Arabidopsis thaliana: one gene and its partner. The protein of the gene in region 2 binds, or shares a complex with, the protein of the main gene of each other region. Each region holds a gene or a part of one and is shown on either strand. Other genes may lie near its edges. A codon is read from its position in the direction of its gene.

Evidence for each region.
Region 1: the proteins of ERL2 (region 2) and CLL2 are in contact, whole or in part, in a crystal structure (PDB 5XKN), measured with the Arabidopsis thaliana proteins. Residues at the interface, in NP_196335.2 of Arabidopsis thaliana: Lys153 (codon at 4,051), Arg178 (codon at 4,222), Arg201 (codon at 4,368), Trp220 (codon at 4,425), Tyr221 (codon at 4,428), Arg225 (codon at 4,528), Glu244 (codon at 4,585), Ile245 (codon at 4,588), Tyr259 (codon at 4,705), Gly262 (codon at 4,714), Phe263 (codon at 4,717), Leu264 (codon at 4,720), Gln265 (codon at 4,723), Ala267 (codon at 4,729), Thr268 (codon at 4,732), Ser270 (codon at 4,824), Gln272 (codon at 4,830), Leu286 (codon at 4,872), Met287 (codon at 4,875), Gln288 (codon at 4,878), Ala289 (codon at 4,881), Ala291 (codon at 4,887), Val292 (codon at 4,890), Asp294 (codon at 4,987), Phe313 (codon at 5,044), Lys316 (codon at 5,053), Tyr318 (codon at 5,144); in NP_001031641.1 of Arabidopsis thaliana: Pro59 (codon at 3,164), Gly60 (codon at 3,167), Ser61 (codon at 3,170), Ser62 (codon at 3,173), Pro63 (codon at 3,176), His80 (codon at 3,227), Ile83 (codon at 3,236), Pro85 (codon at 3,242), Glu92 (codon at 3,263), Tyr93 (codon at 3,266), Tyr94 (codon at 3,269), Pro95 (codon at 3,272), Glu96 (codon at 3,275), Ala97 (codon at 3,278), Trp98 (codon at 3,281), Arg99 (codon at 3,284).

Annotation. Positions count from the first base shown.
Region 1 is NC_003075.7:8,437,375-8,442,880, forward strand, and holds CLL2 (EPIDERMAL PATTERNING FACTOR-like protein), read left to right. Parts: upstream 1-2,524; 5' UTR 2,525-2,792; coding exon 2,793-2,889; intron 2,890-3,086; coding exon 3,087-3,319; 3' UTR 3,320-3,527; downstream 3,528-5,506. UniProt on the Arabidopsis thaliana protein: Acts primarily as positive regulator of inflorescence growth. Endodermal expression is sufficient for proper inflorescence architecture. Redundantly involved with EPFL6 in procambial development regulation. Controls stomatal patterning.
Region 2 is NC_003076.8:2,226,317-2,236,064, reverse strand, and holds ERL2 (ERECTA-like 2), read left to right. Parts: upstream 1-2,477; 5' UTR 2,478-2,832; coding exon 2,833-2,926; intron 2,927-3,336; coding exon 3,337-3,475; intron 3,476-3,537; exon of another isoform or gene 3,538-3,570; coding exon 3,571-3,642; intron 3,643-3,730; coding exon 3,731-3,802; intron 3,803-3,888; coding exon 3,889-3,960; intron 3,961-4,043; coding exon 4,044-4,115; intron 4,116-4,211; coding exon 4,212-4,283; intron 4,284-4,360; coding exon 4,361-4,432; intron 4,433-4,520; coding exon 4,521-4,592; intron 4,593-4,667; coding exon 4,668-4,736; intron 4,737-4,822; coding exon 4,823-4,894; intron 4,895-4,985; coding exon 4,986-5,057; intron 5,058-5,142; coding exon 5,143-5,214; intron 5,215-5,289; coding exon 5,290-5,361; intron 5,362-5,436; coding exon 5,437-5,508; intron 5,509-5,604; coding exon 5,605-5,676; intron 5,677-5,763; coding exon 5,764-5,835; intron 5,836-5,927; coding exon 5,928-5,999; intron 6,000-6,084; coding exon 6,085-6,156; and 18 more. UniProt on the Arabidopsis thaliana protein: Receptor kinase that regulates inflorescence architecture and organ shape as well as stomatal patterning, including density and clustering, together with ERL1 and ER.

The DNA of each region.
Region 1 (5,506 bases), on a different chromosome or scaffold from region 2:
ACAACAATCTTGTGAGGCTAACTTGAAGTAGTTCACCATTTTGGTTGGTGAACACTATATATGTCAATTTATGTTCTCTAATATATATTTTCTTGTTTGGTTTTCTCAATATGTGTTGTCGAGTCGAAAGTGATTAATTGATCGAGCTCAAGATCTTGCTATTAAGGCGAAGTAAAGATTGCAATTCATATTGCTGTATCCTAACAAATGTGATGGTCTCTTATCGTTCTAACATCTCTCTTTCAGATTTATATAAAAATATATATATTGTCTACAAAACTCATTCATCCACATCCAAAATTTAAAATTTGGATTATTACACAAAAGTAGATAAACCACTAGACAAATAATATCTAGTCGAATTAATTAAATTACTCGTCTAAATTATTAGCTTTTTAGATATATATATCTAAACTAAGGACTAAAGCTAGTTAGTGTAAATTTGACTTTTTTTTGTTCTTTGAAACTATGTGTAATATCTATTTTTTTGTAAATGCAAAGATAATCGAGTAATGAACATGAAAACTACTATATTATAAGGAAAAAAATGGTATTTAAATAAAAAAATATGAATAGTGATTGAAGAACCGTACAGGTTATGTTTGTGCAGGGAGAGGGGTCGCGAGTGCGTGGGTCGGGTACAGAGGATGAGTCAGTGAGTCAGGACCTGTTTCCCCCTTTGTAGGGACACTTTTACCATCCTTTAATGGGCCTATTCTTTTCATAGGCCCATTTAAATCATATCAGTCAGTCTTTTTCTTGGGCCTCATCTTTGTTTTGTGGTTCTTGCGATTTGAACTATCTGATGGTGACTACAATTGGACGACCGCAGAACAACCCAACCGTATATGCTGTCTTTTGTGGGCAAATCTTTTTTATTGATATGGATTGTCTCAAAATAAGTGATAGAAGTCCGATATAAAGCATAAAACAATCTCTCATGATCAACCATTAAAAGAAATAAACTAGCAACAACCCATGTTCCTCTTACTGACATACATACACATATAGTCAAAGATTTATGCAATAATTTGGACTTTATTAAAAATATTTACAAACCATATAGACATATATATAGTCATTTTTGATATCTTGGTTTCAAAATCTTTCTAGATCTTTAGTTCCAATAAACTTTCAATTTAAAAGCGGTTTTCTAAAAATCCGAAGTTGGCCAAGTGATATATTAGTCCTGTCCAAACTGACACAACTCACGAATGTGGTACGGGTTGAAAAGCCTTAGGCCATGTTCGTGAGGTAAAGATACTCGCGGTCGATCAACTTTGGGGAACGAATTCGTTCTTGGAACTTTTGTTGATTGATTACGGGCGTCATACGTGACGCCCCTGTTCTTTTTTATTTTTAGGACGGTTTGGGGGTGTTACAAGAGTGGTACCAAAAGACGACGAATATATTGACTCATATCTTTTATATCTTAGCATAGTTTGCTTTTTCACTTTTAATGTGAGAATTCTAACATGCACATTTGAGATAATGAATCATTTTCACTCATCGTTTTGGATCGAACCTCGTTTTGTTTTTGGTTTGGTCATAACTTTTTAACTTGAAAACCACTTGAGAGTGAGTCGACTGATTTATATACTCCTTATATTTTACTTTATATCCCATATTTTTTTATGATGTAAGATTCTTAACATAGTCAAGTACTCATAATGATCTAGTAGTTGAATGATTTACGATGATTCGAATCATTCTACTTCGATTGAGGGTGTACACTAATTAGATCCTATTATATATGATATAAACTGATATATATAAGAATTATTATATAATGCAAAAAATGATCATAAGACGGACGGTGTATATTTATTTTGAATATAATACAAAATTATCATATGTCCAACTCCAGATTCGTGTGCATGTCTCTACGTATCTCCGGATACGATCATGCTATAAGAGTCAAGACCCCTACACGATATGACAAAACGAGTAGGAAAAACGTGACACCAAAAGATATTAAAAAGCTGAAACTAATATATAGAAATGAAAATGAGAGATACATATCAACATTATACAAGAAAGAAAATGAATAAAATAATTGTAATGTAGGACTGAAAACCTAAAAAGAAAAAGAAACATCAAAAGGTTGCCAAAATAAAAAAGTAACATGAAAATAAAACCTGACCAGAAATTTCCATAAAGCCCAACCTATTTATTTTGCCTACACTCTGAGCCCCACTCATTAGTTGCTCAACTATTTTAATTCCTTGTCATAATTGTTATTTAAGAACCTTTATAACTTTCACTTTCAGGGTATATAATCTCTATGGATTTAAATGGAGAAAACCCCAGTGACCATAGTTTGATTTAAGGAAGGGAAAGTTATAGGAATGGATTATGAAATATTATAAATTTTGCATATTAATGCAAAATATCTATCTTTATAAAACATACTTTTAAAAATATATAATGTTAAGAAACAAAAGGAGGTTAATATTAAGTGAAGACTCTCACTAAAGTATACAAATGAAGAGATATAAAAAGCAGGATAAAAATAGAGTCAAAAAGAAAGAAAACAAAAACAAGACATAGCAATTTGAATTTAATATTTGGATTCCAAATCCAAGCTCATGGGTCTATTCTACTGTTCACAGTCACACACACACTCTCTATCTAAGCTTCTTTTGACTTAAGACCAAAATGAATAACCCCAAACCTCAAACACTCAAACATAAACCCAAAAAATCTCTCTCACAGAGAAAAATAAAACACACAATTTTAACCACAACACTTGTCTCTCTGCTAACATACGCATCCTCTCCGGTTCTTGACTAATGGGCACCTTCCGTCGCCGCCGTCGCTTTCTTTTAGCTGCACTCGTCACATTTGCTCTCCTCCACCTCTTCTCCGCCTCCTCCATAGTCTCCGCCGGTAAGAAACCAATAACAATGTGATTTTTTTTTTCTTGCAACTCAAACCCGAAAATTTCTTGATTTTCTTGATTTCATAATAAAATTTTTGGTTTGAGTAATTAAAAACGCAATATTTTTTGTAGTCCAATGGTTAAATGTACTTGATGTGTAAATGGTGAGCGAGTTAACTCAGTAGTGGTTAAATTCATTTACCAGATGGTAGATGGATTGGTCAGAGAACCGGGTCGGATTTACCGGGTGGGTTCATAAGGAGTAATAAGCGGTTTGGTGGTCCGGGTTCATCACCACCGACGTGTAGATCGAAGTGTGGGAAATGTCAGCCGTGTAAACCGGTTCACGTACCAATTCAACCCGGTTTAAGTATGCCATTGGAGTATTACCCTGAAGCTTGGCGGTGCAAGTGTGGCAACAAGCTCTTCATGCCCTAAAGTTTGATCAATTATTAAACAATTCAGAAGAAGAAAAAAAATGTTTTAATTCTTTTTGTTTTGTTTTTTGTTCCTCATTTCTTGTGCTTCTCTGATTAATTATTGTAATGAAAACTATATGTTAATATTAAAAAATTGGTCATGTGAAGAAATTGAGGACTTTGGGAAAAGGCAAATTTTTGAGGGGTGATAGTACCGAGAAAGAAAGAGAGCATTCATCATTTTTACCCTAATGACACTTGCTTCATTGTAGAACCAATTGATATTGCAGATGTCTAATTCAGGTAGTGAATTTCTATCTTTTCTTTGTTATAACTTGTAAGAAAATAAATATGTCATACACAAAACAAATCGTTTTTAATCAGTAACATGAAATGACAAATGTTTTAGACAGGTATAAATAGTAAAATATCTTACTAATGGTAAAATCATTTTACTACATAGAATTTCTGAAAATAAGTTAAAACGTTAAAAATAGGTTTCACTAAATAGAATTTCTGCAAATTAGATAAGTTATAACTAAAAAAGAACTATAATTAGAAAACGTTAAAAAGAACTCTACAGGATTAGTGATGTAATTTGTTATGTTTTAACACATCAATAATATATATATACTAGTAGAAGTAATTTTTTAAAACGTGGAATGTAATGAATATTTTGAATGGTAAACTACCACAACTACGTTTTTAAAATGTGAAAATGTATAGAAATAGTTACTTTATATAAATATAAGATGTTTTGGTTAAAAGCACAAAGTTTAATAAACTTATATTTTTATATTAAAAACATAGTTAAATATCTAATCAAAGAGAGTTTGGCAAATGATAAAAATTTCTGCATAATATAAATAATCACAAAATTTCCTGTTGAAATGTCTTTTGGATTTTTGTAAATTAAACAATCTTATGGTGAATTATTTGACAAAATCCGCCAAAAACAATTGTGAGTGATGGATATTTGTTTTGTTTCCATTTGGTGTTATCAGTAAAATCAGTGATTTGCCCCTTATTTTCAAACAAATCCCACTTAACAAAACAAATCCTAAGTACTTTGTTTGTCTGGTTATGCATGTTTGTTTGGACCCATAGGTTTTTGTCCCTCGACAGCTATGAAGATTTCATTATTGCTCTTTGATGATAATTTATTAATTTTTGTAAGGTATCAATATAAATCATGATTAATATTTATATCGTACTTGCACGTGTAAGTATGCAGCAGGACCATATTATAAAAAAATGAAACAAATAATAATATTATTATAGAAAACGAATGTAAAAAGTAGTAAAAGCATTTATGGTTTGGAGTTTTTCCCATTTTCACTACAAAGCCGCATATGTACTCGTGTCGTACTGCATACTCTGTTCCTTACATATAAGTTTGCAATATCTGAATTAACTTCTCTCGTTTCTTTTATTTTTCTCCTTATGAGATGTACCAAGTTATTCTACTTTTGATTTTAGTATTTGGAAAAGTATCTACTTGTCTCATATTTATAGCTTGATTTTACAATTTTAGCTTTTTAAAATAGAGAGGAAATAAAGAACCATTGACCTATAAAAGATACACAAATAATTTCTTTGTAGATGCCTAAAAAGCGTACTAGTTACAACAATAATTGTATAAGTTGGAGAATGATGGTTTACTCTAGACTTATAGAGATGTTATGATCATCATTAGAAGCTGACTTACGTTACGTATAGAAAGATTATGAAACGTATTAATTTCAGGGTCGAACGGGACAAGACTTTGGTCCTATATTCGGAGTTCGGACAAGTCATGGTTATAAATTTGTGTAGATGACATAAATGGTGGAGAATTATTTTGATTATGAGCTTTGAAAATTTGGAAACACGTAACCATTTACTAACTTCTAACCACTGTCCTATCGGTCGTGTAGGGCCATTGTACTCGACCCAAACGTTGACTAATAATAACAACTGCATGGTGTTTATATCATAACGAACATATTTGTAAGATTTTAGTATTTTACAACTTTCACTCCTTTTTTTGTGTTTTCGATTTTTTATATACTCTTAATTTAATATGATGGTACGTAAGGTACGTTCTACATGAGATAGTTGATACTCCATCGACGAACGAAATAACACAAAGGAGCTATTACACAAATTCTTAGGTTCTTTATGTTTTTCACATTTAGGAAAAAAAAAGGATAATATTAGTAGATAA
Region 2 (9,748 bases):
TTCACAGCTTTTGTCCCAGCTTTTACTACATGTTTTGGGCCTGTTTGATCACGCCACGTGGATCCGGTAAAATCCACGCTTGTCTTCTCTGATTGGCTCTTCACTATAGGCTTTTTTTTTTTTTTTTGTAAATTCACTATAGGCTTAAGCTAGTCTGCTCCATAGCTATAGGTCCCTATAAATATACGTAAGTCTTCTTATATAAAAGCAATGTAATTGAATGCTCGCATAACTAAGTGAATTAGTTGTAAAATAAACGAATGTTACGTATGTGGGCATATGATCAAATCTCATTTATTTTCTTATCAGTAAATACAAAGCTTGAAACGTGGTGAACAATGAAGATTGTCATTACGTATGAGAAATTTATAGTTTGTATTGACTAATTTCATTAACTATTTCAAATTTTCACTCAAGTTTGATCATATATACATACTAACTAGTCCACACAAATCTAACTCATGTTCACTAACTTTTGACCCTTAAAATAAAAAACTCATGTTCACTAACTGTCCGATATTAACAACAGTAACCACAAAACTGATCATATATATATACTAGACCACAACAGCTAACGCAGCACCTCGTTTATTGTTTCGACGCAATAACAATAAAAACATTTAAGAGGAAACATAGTAAAAAATAATTGAATTGGTCTAGTTTAGACTACTGTAGAATGCGTACAGATTGGTCTTCTTACATATTAGAGCCATGCACCGTTCGAGTCTAAAAGCCTAGAGTTGCTTATACAGCTGAACCTCCACAAGACTTATATAAATCTTGTGGATATACGAGCCCCCGTCTCCTTTTACGTTTTTGTGGATTTACATAAATCTTTATGGTCACCGAGTCTACTGATATAATTTTACTGTCGCAGTTTGTTTCCACTACTTAAGTTTCTATAATTTCACAGTTTGAAAGAAAAATTACTGGTTATTCAGCTAAATTACAAAGATTAGTTTAATTAGTTTAGCCAGTATAATGTTTTAGTAAAGTATTAAACGGCATTTTTCGTTGGGAGAATTATGTTATGGTATAATCTACTAATACATACTTTTACACATATATCAAAAAGTTTGACCATAGTAGGTAGTACAACATAGAAGAATCAAGATCGGAACCAGCAAGGAAGAAGATACGGTCGGTCCATATTAAGCTAAGAGGACCAACGTAACTCGATATATATTTTTCTGTTCTCTACGTTACCACCATATAAATTTTAATATTGAAAAAATCATCTTTTGGCATTGTGTTTGATGTCGGATTCGGAATATGGAAAGAGGAGAGATATGAGATTTTGGCACAAAGGAAGCTGCCAAAGCATTAGGGCAACCGAGTAGTAACGAGATCAAACATCGTTTCAATCGGACGGTCGGGGTTTGACCAATATTTCTCGGATATCTTTTGGACCCTACGTTCTGACTTGAACTTGATCAGTCACTTCAGTACCTTAGTTTTCATTTTCAATGTGATCATGAGTTTTTTTTTACATGTTAGCTTCAAAACAAATACTAATATTCATTAACTATGGATCGGCATAGTTTTCATGTAATCAGCTGAGCGTTTATCATATTGATTGAAGCTAACATGTAAAATTCTCATGATCACATTGACTTTTGCCTACAAATTTTAAAAGAGTATACAAATAATTGCTTAATGAAGATAGCTTCCATAGAGAAAGAGTAACAGCTTTATACGGAGGCATAGCTTTAGACACGATCTCTGCTCTTGTGTTTTTTGTTTAACACTGAATCCACAGTGAAATTACTGCTCATTTTTTTTCATTTTTTATTACATTTTTTTTTTTACTTTTTTATTTATTACAATCTACAGTTCTACCAACTTATTCAACCTAGTGGTACCATATCGACCCCAAAATTAATCAATCTAATTACAAGGTAGAAATAGAAAGATTTTATCAAAGGAGACAACTCTGATCGATAATATGTTGCAATAAAACCATGAAAAACTGTAAAAAATATTGAAAGCTGAAGAAAAATTTTCAAATCGATAAAAGGATAGTACTAAACCAATCCGGTTTGTGGCATCTTTTTCACCCAATCACTATCAAAGCATTAACTAAAAATCACAAGGAAGAGCATAATTTGATTCTCTACATCGCAGTCCACGATAGGATTTCTCTATCCACCGTTGGATCAAATTTAATAATGATGCACGCGCGCGTCAACGGGATTTTACCCAGCAAAGGAATGTCTTTTCACCGGACTCTTAAAAGACGTTCTTCTTTTTTCACCTTTGCATTGGAAAACGGCGTTTCTTCTTAGAACCGTCGCCGTCAAATCATACGGCCTAATAAATCTCCGTTTAACGCCGTTACTTTACCGTTAAGTACTAAAAAAACAAAAAAAAATCATTTCGATCACTGTCTCATTAAGATGATCGGAGATGTTTTAGCAGGGTTTAACAAGTGATGATAGTAATGTATGTATATATGTTACTGACATTATTTTGTCGTTGTCTAATAGGAGGGTACTAAAGTTTCTCTCTCTCATGGCGTCGGAGCTCAGCCTCTAGTAATGTAGACTGTCCTCTCTTTCTCTCTCTCTTCTTTAAACATCTCTGCTCTGTTTTCCTTCCAGTTCACGCTAATCTCCTGTGTCGGTCCCCTCTCTCTTTTCCTTTGGTCTCTCCCAACAATGGCAGAACGACTTTGTACCCTTCTTTTGCTCTTTGTTTGAATTTCGTTTCTTGCTACAAAGCTTCAAAGGATCTGACTTTTCCCTAAACAGAAAAAGAGGTCTTTAACCAAAAAAGGTTGTTACTTGTTTTCTGGGTTTCGTGGTGTTACTCTTGAGGAAGAAGAAGAAGAAGATGAGAAGGATAGAGACCATGAAAGGCTTGTTTTTTTGTCTGGGGATGGTGGTTTTCATGCTACTTGGTTCTGTTTCTCCAATGAACAACGAAGGTTCTAGCTCTTTCAAAATCTCTTTTGTTTCTCTATTGTTCCATGAGCCAGAGAGATTTCTCTCTTTTTTTTCCAGAGAACTTGAATTTTTATAAATTTGTAACCTTTCTTCCGATTTTGAAGATATCATATCTGTTTATCTGTCTATCTAAACAGTGACTGTTCCTGAGAGAGCAAAAGTCATTTGATTCGTTCTTAAAAAAAACTTACTTTAGTGTTTTTGGAAATATGATAATAATTTGTGACCTAGCTCACTTCACAGTTGAGTTTATTATACTAATGATCTAGTGGGGTTTTAGTTTTTGGCATGTGGTTCATATTTTACCATTTGACTATCATCAGTGTCAAATGATTAAATAAGCTTTTTTTGATTTGTTTATTGACTTCAAAAAGCTTTTGATTTTGCACAGGAAAAGCGTTGATGGCGATAAAGGCTTCATTCAGCAACGTGGCGAATATGCTTCTTGATTGGGACGATGTTCATAACCACGACTTTTGTTCTTGGAGAGGTGTCTTCTGTGATAACGTTAGCCTCAATGTTGTCTCTCTGTAAGGATTTTTTTTTTATCTCATTCCGTATTGTTGTGCTGTCTCTTTGATTTCAGACTTTTCTGATTTGCCTTTGTTTTTTTTTATGTTGGAAGTAATCTGTCAAACCTGAATCTTGGTGGAGAGATATCATCTGCCCTTGGAGATTTGATGAATCTGCAATCAATGTTCGTTTCTCTTCTCTCTTTTACTTGTATGTTTGAGAAGAAACATGGTGTTAAATCCTTATGAAGCTCTGGTCTTTCTTAATTACAGAGACTTGCAAGGAAATAAATTGGGTGGTCAAATTCCAGATGAGATTGGAAACTGTGTTTCTCTTGCTTATGTGTAAGTTTTGTTTGATGCTTGTAGTTTCATGTTAATGAGAACTTAATCTATCTCTATTATATAATCAAAAACCTTTCTTGTTTCAGGGATTTCTCCACCAATTTGTTGTTTGGAGACATACCGTTTTCAATCTCTAAACTCAAACAGCTGGAGTTTCTGTATGTCTTCTTATCTCTCTCATTCGTGTGTAATCTTTGCCTGATTTTGGCGTTTTTTTGTCAACTGTTTCATTCTAATGCAGGAACCTAAAGAATAATCAGCTCACTGGTCCAATACCAGCAACCTTAACTCAGATTCCAAACCTTAAGACCCTGTGAGTTTCAATCAGATAATATTCTATCTATGAAGCAGGTTATTTAATGCAAAGGGATCATTGCAATGATAATAGATTATTCTCATGATTTTGCAGTGACCTCGCAAGAAACCAGCTTACTGGTGAGATACCAAGGTTACTCTACTGGAATGAAGTTTTACAGTATCTGTAAGTAGTTCATCTACTTATCTTAAGTCTAGGCATCCAGAGATTTATGTTCTGATTGTGATGTATTCATTTTGCAGCGGTTTACGTGGGAATATGTTAACTGGGACATTGTCTCCTGATATGTGTCAGCTGACGGGTCTGTGGTACTTGTAAGTGAATCCGGTTCAGCTCTTTATTTTCTTTTACTCTCAACCTCAGATTTCGAGTAATTTATAAGTGAATGTTTGTTGTTGTTAGTGATGTGAGAGGCAACAACCTTACTGGAACTATCCCAGAGAGCATTGGCAATTGCACAAGCTTTGAGATCTTGTATGTGTCTTCTCCTTAAGGAATGAATATTCAGCACAGAACTCGAGTGATCTTATTCGTCATTTGCATTTTCAGGGATGTATCTTATAATCAGATTACCGGAGTTATACCCTACAATATTGGTTTCCTCCAAGTAGCTACTCTGTAAGTATTGTTAAGACCATCTTACACTTTTGTGTGGTTTGTTAAAGCATGTCAATATGGTTAAGTGGTGATGGGTTCTCTTGCAGGTCACTTCAAGGAAACAAGTTGACTGGCAGAATTCCGGAAGTGATTGGTCTGATGCAGGCTCTTGCTGTATTGTATGTCATTTTCATATTCAAATGCTTGCTTTTTTCCTACTCTCGTTTCTTGCTCTTCTGACTGAATGAAATAAACTTATCCAATGCGCAGGGATTTGAGTGACAATGAATTAACTGGGCCTATTCCACCAATACTTGGGAATCTGTCATTCACTGGAAAACTGTGAGTCCCTTTTTTTTTCTTCCCTCTGTGTCATGCATATGTTCAGATCTTCACATATATGGATAATGTCTTTTCTTGAAAATAGGTATCTCCATGGCAACAAGCTCACTGGACAAATCCCACCCGAGCTAGGCAATATGTCACGACTCAGCTATTTGTAAGATTGAGAACTTGAAACTCCAATATCTGTTCTTCTCAATACTTGATCTTATGAGGGTTTACTCTTTCGCAGGCAACTAAATGATAATGAACTAGTGGGAAAGATCCCACCTGAGCTTGGGAAGCTGGAACAATTGTTCGAACTGTGAGTTTTTATCCTTCAGTATACTTAAATTTTTATCTTAGGTGAAAAGCTGGTTGATGTAACTTTGCCATCTAGGAATCTTGCGAACAACAATCTTGTAGGGCTGATTCCATCTAACATTAGTTCCTGTGCTGCCTTGAATCAATTGTAAGATATGATATGAACCCTTTCCCATTTTATGCTTCTCTCTATTTTTCTTCTTCTTATCTTAATGAAAACTTATTGTGCTTTTATTGTGTTCAGCAATGTTCATGGGAACTTCTTGAGTGGAGCTGTACCACTTGAATTCCGGAATCTTGGAAGCTTGACTTATCTGTAAGCTTCAATGACTGCATGTACAGTATGATTATGTATTCGAACTATTAGTCTGTGTAAATCTTGATTCAATGCTGTAAATTGCAGAAATCTTTCCTCAAACAGTTTCAAGGGCAAAATACCTGCTGAGCTTGGCCATATCATCAATCTTGATACATTGTATGTTATTTTCTACTGATTTACATCCATGTTCCGCCTAGTTACCTACTGATATGTGTACCAACTACCAACTCATACAAACTTTGTTTCAGGGATCTGTCTGGCAACAATTTCTCAGGCTCAATTCCATTAACACTTGGTGATCTTGAGCATCTTCTCATCTTGTATGTCTTCATCAAGCCCTAAAGTTGCACTGCTTTGCATTAACTCTCTCAGATTTGTTGACTTGAGTTTTGTTTTAATTGTCAGAAACTTGAGCAGAAATCATCTGAATGGCACATTGCCTGCAGAATTCGGGAACCTCCGAAGCATTCAGATCATGTAAGGCTTGTCTTATGCTTAGATTTCTTCTGTTATGATAAAATCTTCCTACTTACAAACTTTTCTCCATCCTTCTCAGCGATGTGTCATTTAATTTTCTTGCCGGTGTTATTCCAACTGAACTTGGCCAGTTGCAGAACATAAACTCTCTGTAAGTAAACCATCACTTCTCCTCTGCAATTTACCGTATAATGCATATAAATAATTCTTCTTTGCTTCTTTAATGTACAGGATACTGAACAACAACAAGATTCATGGGAAAATCCCTGATCAGCTAACTAACTGCTTCAGTCTTGCCAATCTGTACGTGTTCCTTTGTTACAACAAGATGTGTACTCTCAGATAATCTTATGATCATTTCTGAATTCATATATTTTTCCTGCTCGTTCTTTATACATTGTAGGAACATCTCCTTCAATAATCTTTCTGGAATAATCCCACCTATGAAGAACTTTACACGTTTTTCCCCGGCCAGGTATCACCTTTGCCATATTGTTACCTGTCTTAGCTTTTCATATAATCAGTATACCAAATATACCTTTTCGTTTATAGCTTCTTTGGAAATCCATTTCTCTGCGGGAACTGGGTTGGATCAATCTGTGGCCCATCTTTACCTAAGTCACAAGGTATATGAATCTGCATTTATCCTATTGCATTGTTTTTAGCTGACATATCTCTCACTACATTTCTTGCTCTTGACCAACCAGTATTCACCAGAGTTGCCGTGATTTGTATGGTTCTCGGTTTCATCACTCTCATATGCATGATATTCATTGCGGTTTACAAGTCAAAGCAGCAGAAACCAGTCTTGAAAGGCTCTTCAAAACAACCTGAAGGTCTTGGTCTCATAGTTTATGATCTCTTCTCTTTCGTTCATTAAGATTCACAACAGCATTATGATATATCTTGTATGGATCCTTCAGGGTCAACGAAGCTGGTGATTCTTCACATGGACATGGCTATTCACACGTTTGATGATATCATGAGAGTTACAGAAAACCTCGATGAGAAATACATCATTGGATACGGTGCTTCTAGCACAGTTTACAAGTGCACCTCCAAAACTTCCCGACCTATTGCCATTAAGCGAATCTACAATCAGTATCCCAGCAACTTCCGCGAGTTTGAAACAGAGCTCGAGACCATTGGGAGCATCAGACACAGAAACATAGTAAGCTTGCACGGATACGCCTTATCTCCCTTTGGCAACCTCCTCTTCTACGACTACATGGAAAATGGCTCTCTTTGGGATCTTCTCCATGGTTTGCTATTCTTCTTCTCTTGGACCAGTTACGTTCTTTTCAGCCAGTTTTCTACTTTTGGAAGACTTAAACGTAGTGATTGTATGATGCAGGGCCTGGGAAGAAGGTGAAGCTTGACTGGGAAACAAGGCTGAAGATAGCTGTTGGAGCTGCGCAAGGACTTGCATATCTTCACCATGACTGCACACCTAGGATAATCCATCGAGACATCAAGTCATCAAACATACTCCTTGATGGGAATTTCGAAGCGCGTTTGTCAGATTTTGGGATTGCCAAGAGCATACCAGCCACCAAAACTTATGCTTCAACCTATGTTCTTGGAACCATTGGATATATTGACCCAGAGTATGCTCGAACTTCGCGTCTGAACGAGAAGTCTGATATCTACAGTTTCGGTATTGTCCTTCTTGAGCTTCTAACCGGCAAGAAGGCTGTGGATAACGAGGCCAACTTGCATCAAATGGTATGAATTTGAGTATAAAGTGTTTCACAAGTTTATTCTTGGAAACAATTTGATATCATTAACTTTTTTGTTGCAGATTCTATCAAAGGCGGATGATAACACAGTAATGGAAGCTGTTGATGCAGAGGTCTCAGTGACTTGCATGGACTCAGGACACATCAAGAAAACATTTCAGCTAGCTCTCTTGTGCACCAAGCGAAATCCTTTGGAGAGACCCACCATGCAGGAGGTCTCTAGGGTTCTGCTCTCACTTGTCCCGTCTCCACCTCCAAAGAAGTTACCGTCGCCTGCAAAAGTACAGGAAGGGGAAGAACGGCGTGAGAGCCACTCTTCAGATACAACAACCCCACAGTGGTTTGTTCAGTTCCGTGAAGATATCTCCAAAAGTAGCTTATAAGATAATAACTTTTAGGGTTCCCTTTTCTGTTGTGTTCTTGTATGTCAAGAAAGATCGGAGGGGCAGGTTTTTAAGTGATTTAGGGCTAGTATGAGGGGTATTTTGGGAAGGGAGATAAAATTGAAGGCATTAAAGATAAGAACATGGGATAGGTGAAAGAGTAGGTGAAGTTAATTGTTTTTCCAATGGACATCTTCACGAGTTCGTTAAAAGTCTTTCAATCTCCTCTTTAATGCAAACATCCATTAATGCATACTTCGTTCACACTATAAATATATTTTGTACATTATTCACATGACCAACGTTGTGTATATGTCAAACTTTTACAACTAATTAAGAACATATACGCATATGGCTTATCTCAAAATGTGAATCTCAAGCTGGTGAATCCTGCCACAGAAATTCAAGCTCCTTGTTAGAATGTAATTGATGGAGATGTGTTGTTCACTTGTTTGGTCCAAATACTAGAAGGAAATGATTAAAGCAATAGGTTTTTATACCTGTTAACATGGAGGATCGTTTTCCCATTGAAGCTCTCAATCTTTTTCATTGCAATGTCTAATTTGTACACGCACGAAATATGTCTTGAAAAATCTCTATGTGGATGAGATACAAGAGATTAAGAGAAGCAACTAATCTGTAAGTACCGCGACTGAATCATTATCTGAAGTGGTAACATTTCTGTGCCTCTCCCAAGGTTGATCCTTCTGTGTCTTTAATGATTAACACAGATGGCGACATACTGTTGTTTCCGCGAGATAATTTACATTAGGAACAAAACTAGTTGTGTCTTGATTCTACTTAGTCTAGTTGCAAGCAAAGACAATGTTAGGTTAAATGATGTTATGCTAGAGTTGGAAAACCACTCACGATATGTGCATGTCCTCCAATATGCCAAGCGTATTCAAAAGCTCAGAAGAAGAAACCAATGATTGATTAAGACGATAAAAAAGACTTGAGTGTACCTTAGCAATAACAAGATCTTCATAAGTCATTTTATCATCTTTCCTGCGTTGAGTGACCATATCAAACATCCTTTTCTCCTAAAGAACCACTCGGACCAAAATACTCCTGTGACAATCGAAATCCACCACACATCGTGTGATGCTTAAGAGAGATTTGAGATCATCGAGCTTCTTCTGAGTGAAAGCTCTGCAACAAAATTACAAACTCACAATTGAAGAAGTTTATTAGAGAGTGGAGGTGAGATTGGTTCCGATGAAAACCTGGAAGCAGAAGTGAAGTCATGATCAACAGAGGACGACGAAATCGAATTCCCATTTTCGCCGGGTTTTTCTGTTCTCCGGCAGGTTTCGTCGTCTCTGTTTACATGGTTTAGTCTTCGTCGGAAGGAGAAAAAATATTTCGGTTTACATGATTTTGAAAAGTTCAAATTATAATTGGTTTCGGTTCAGTGTACATGGTTTAAAATTACAAATTGATTTTGGTTCGGTTTACATAAAACAAAAA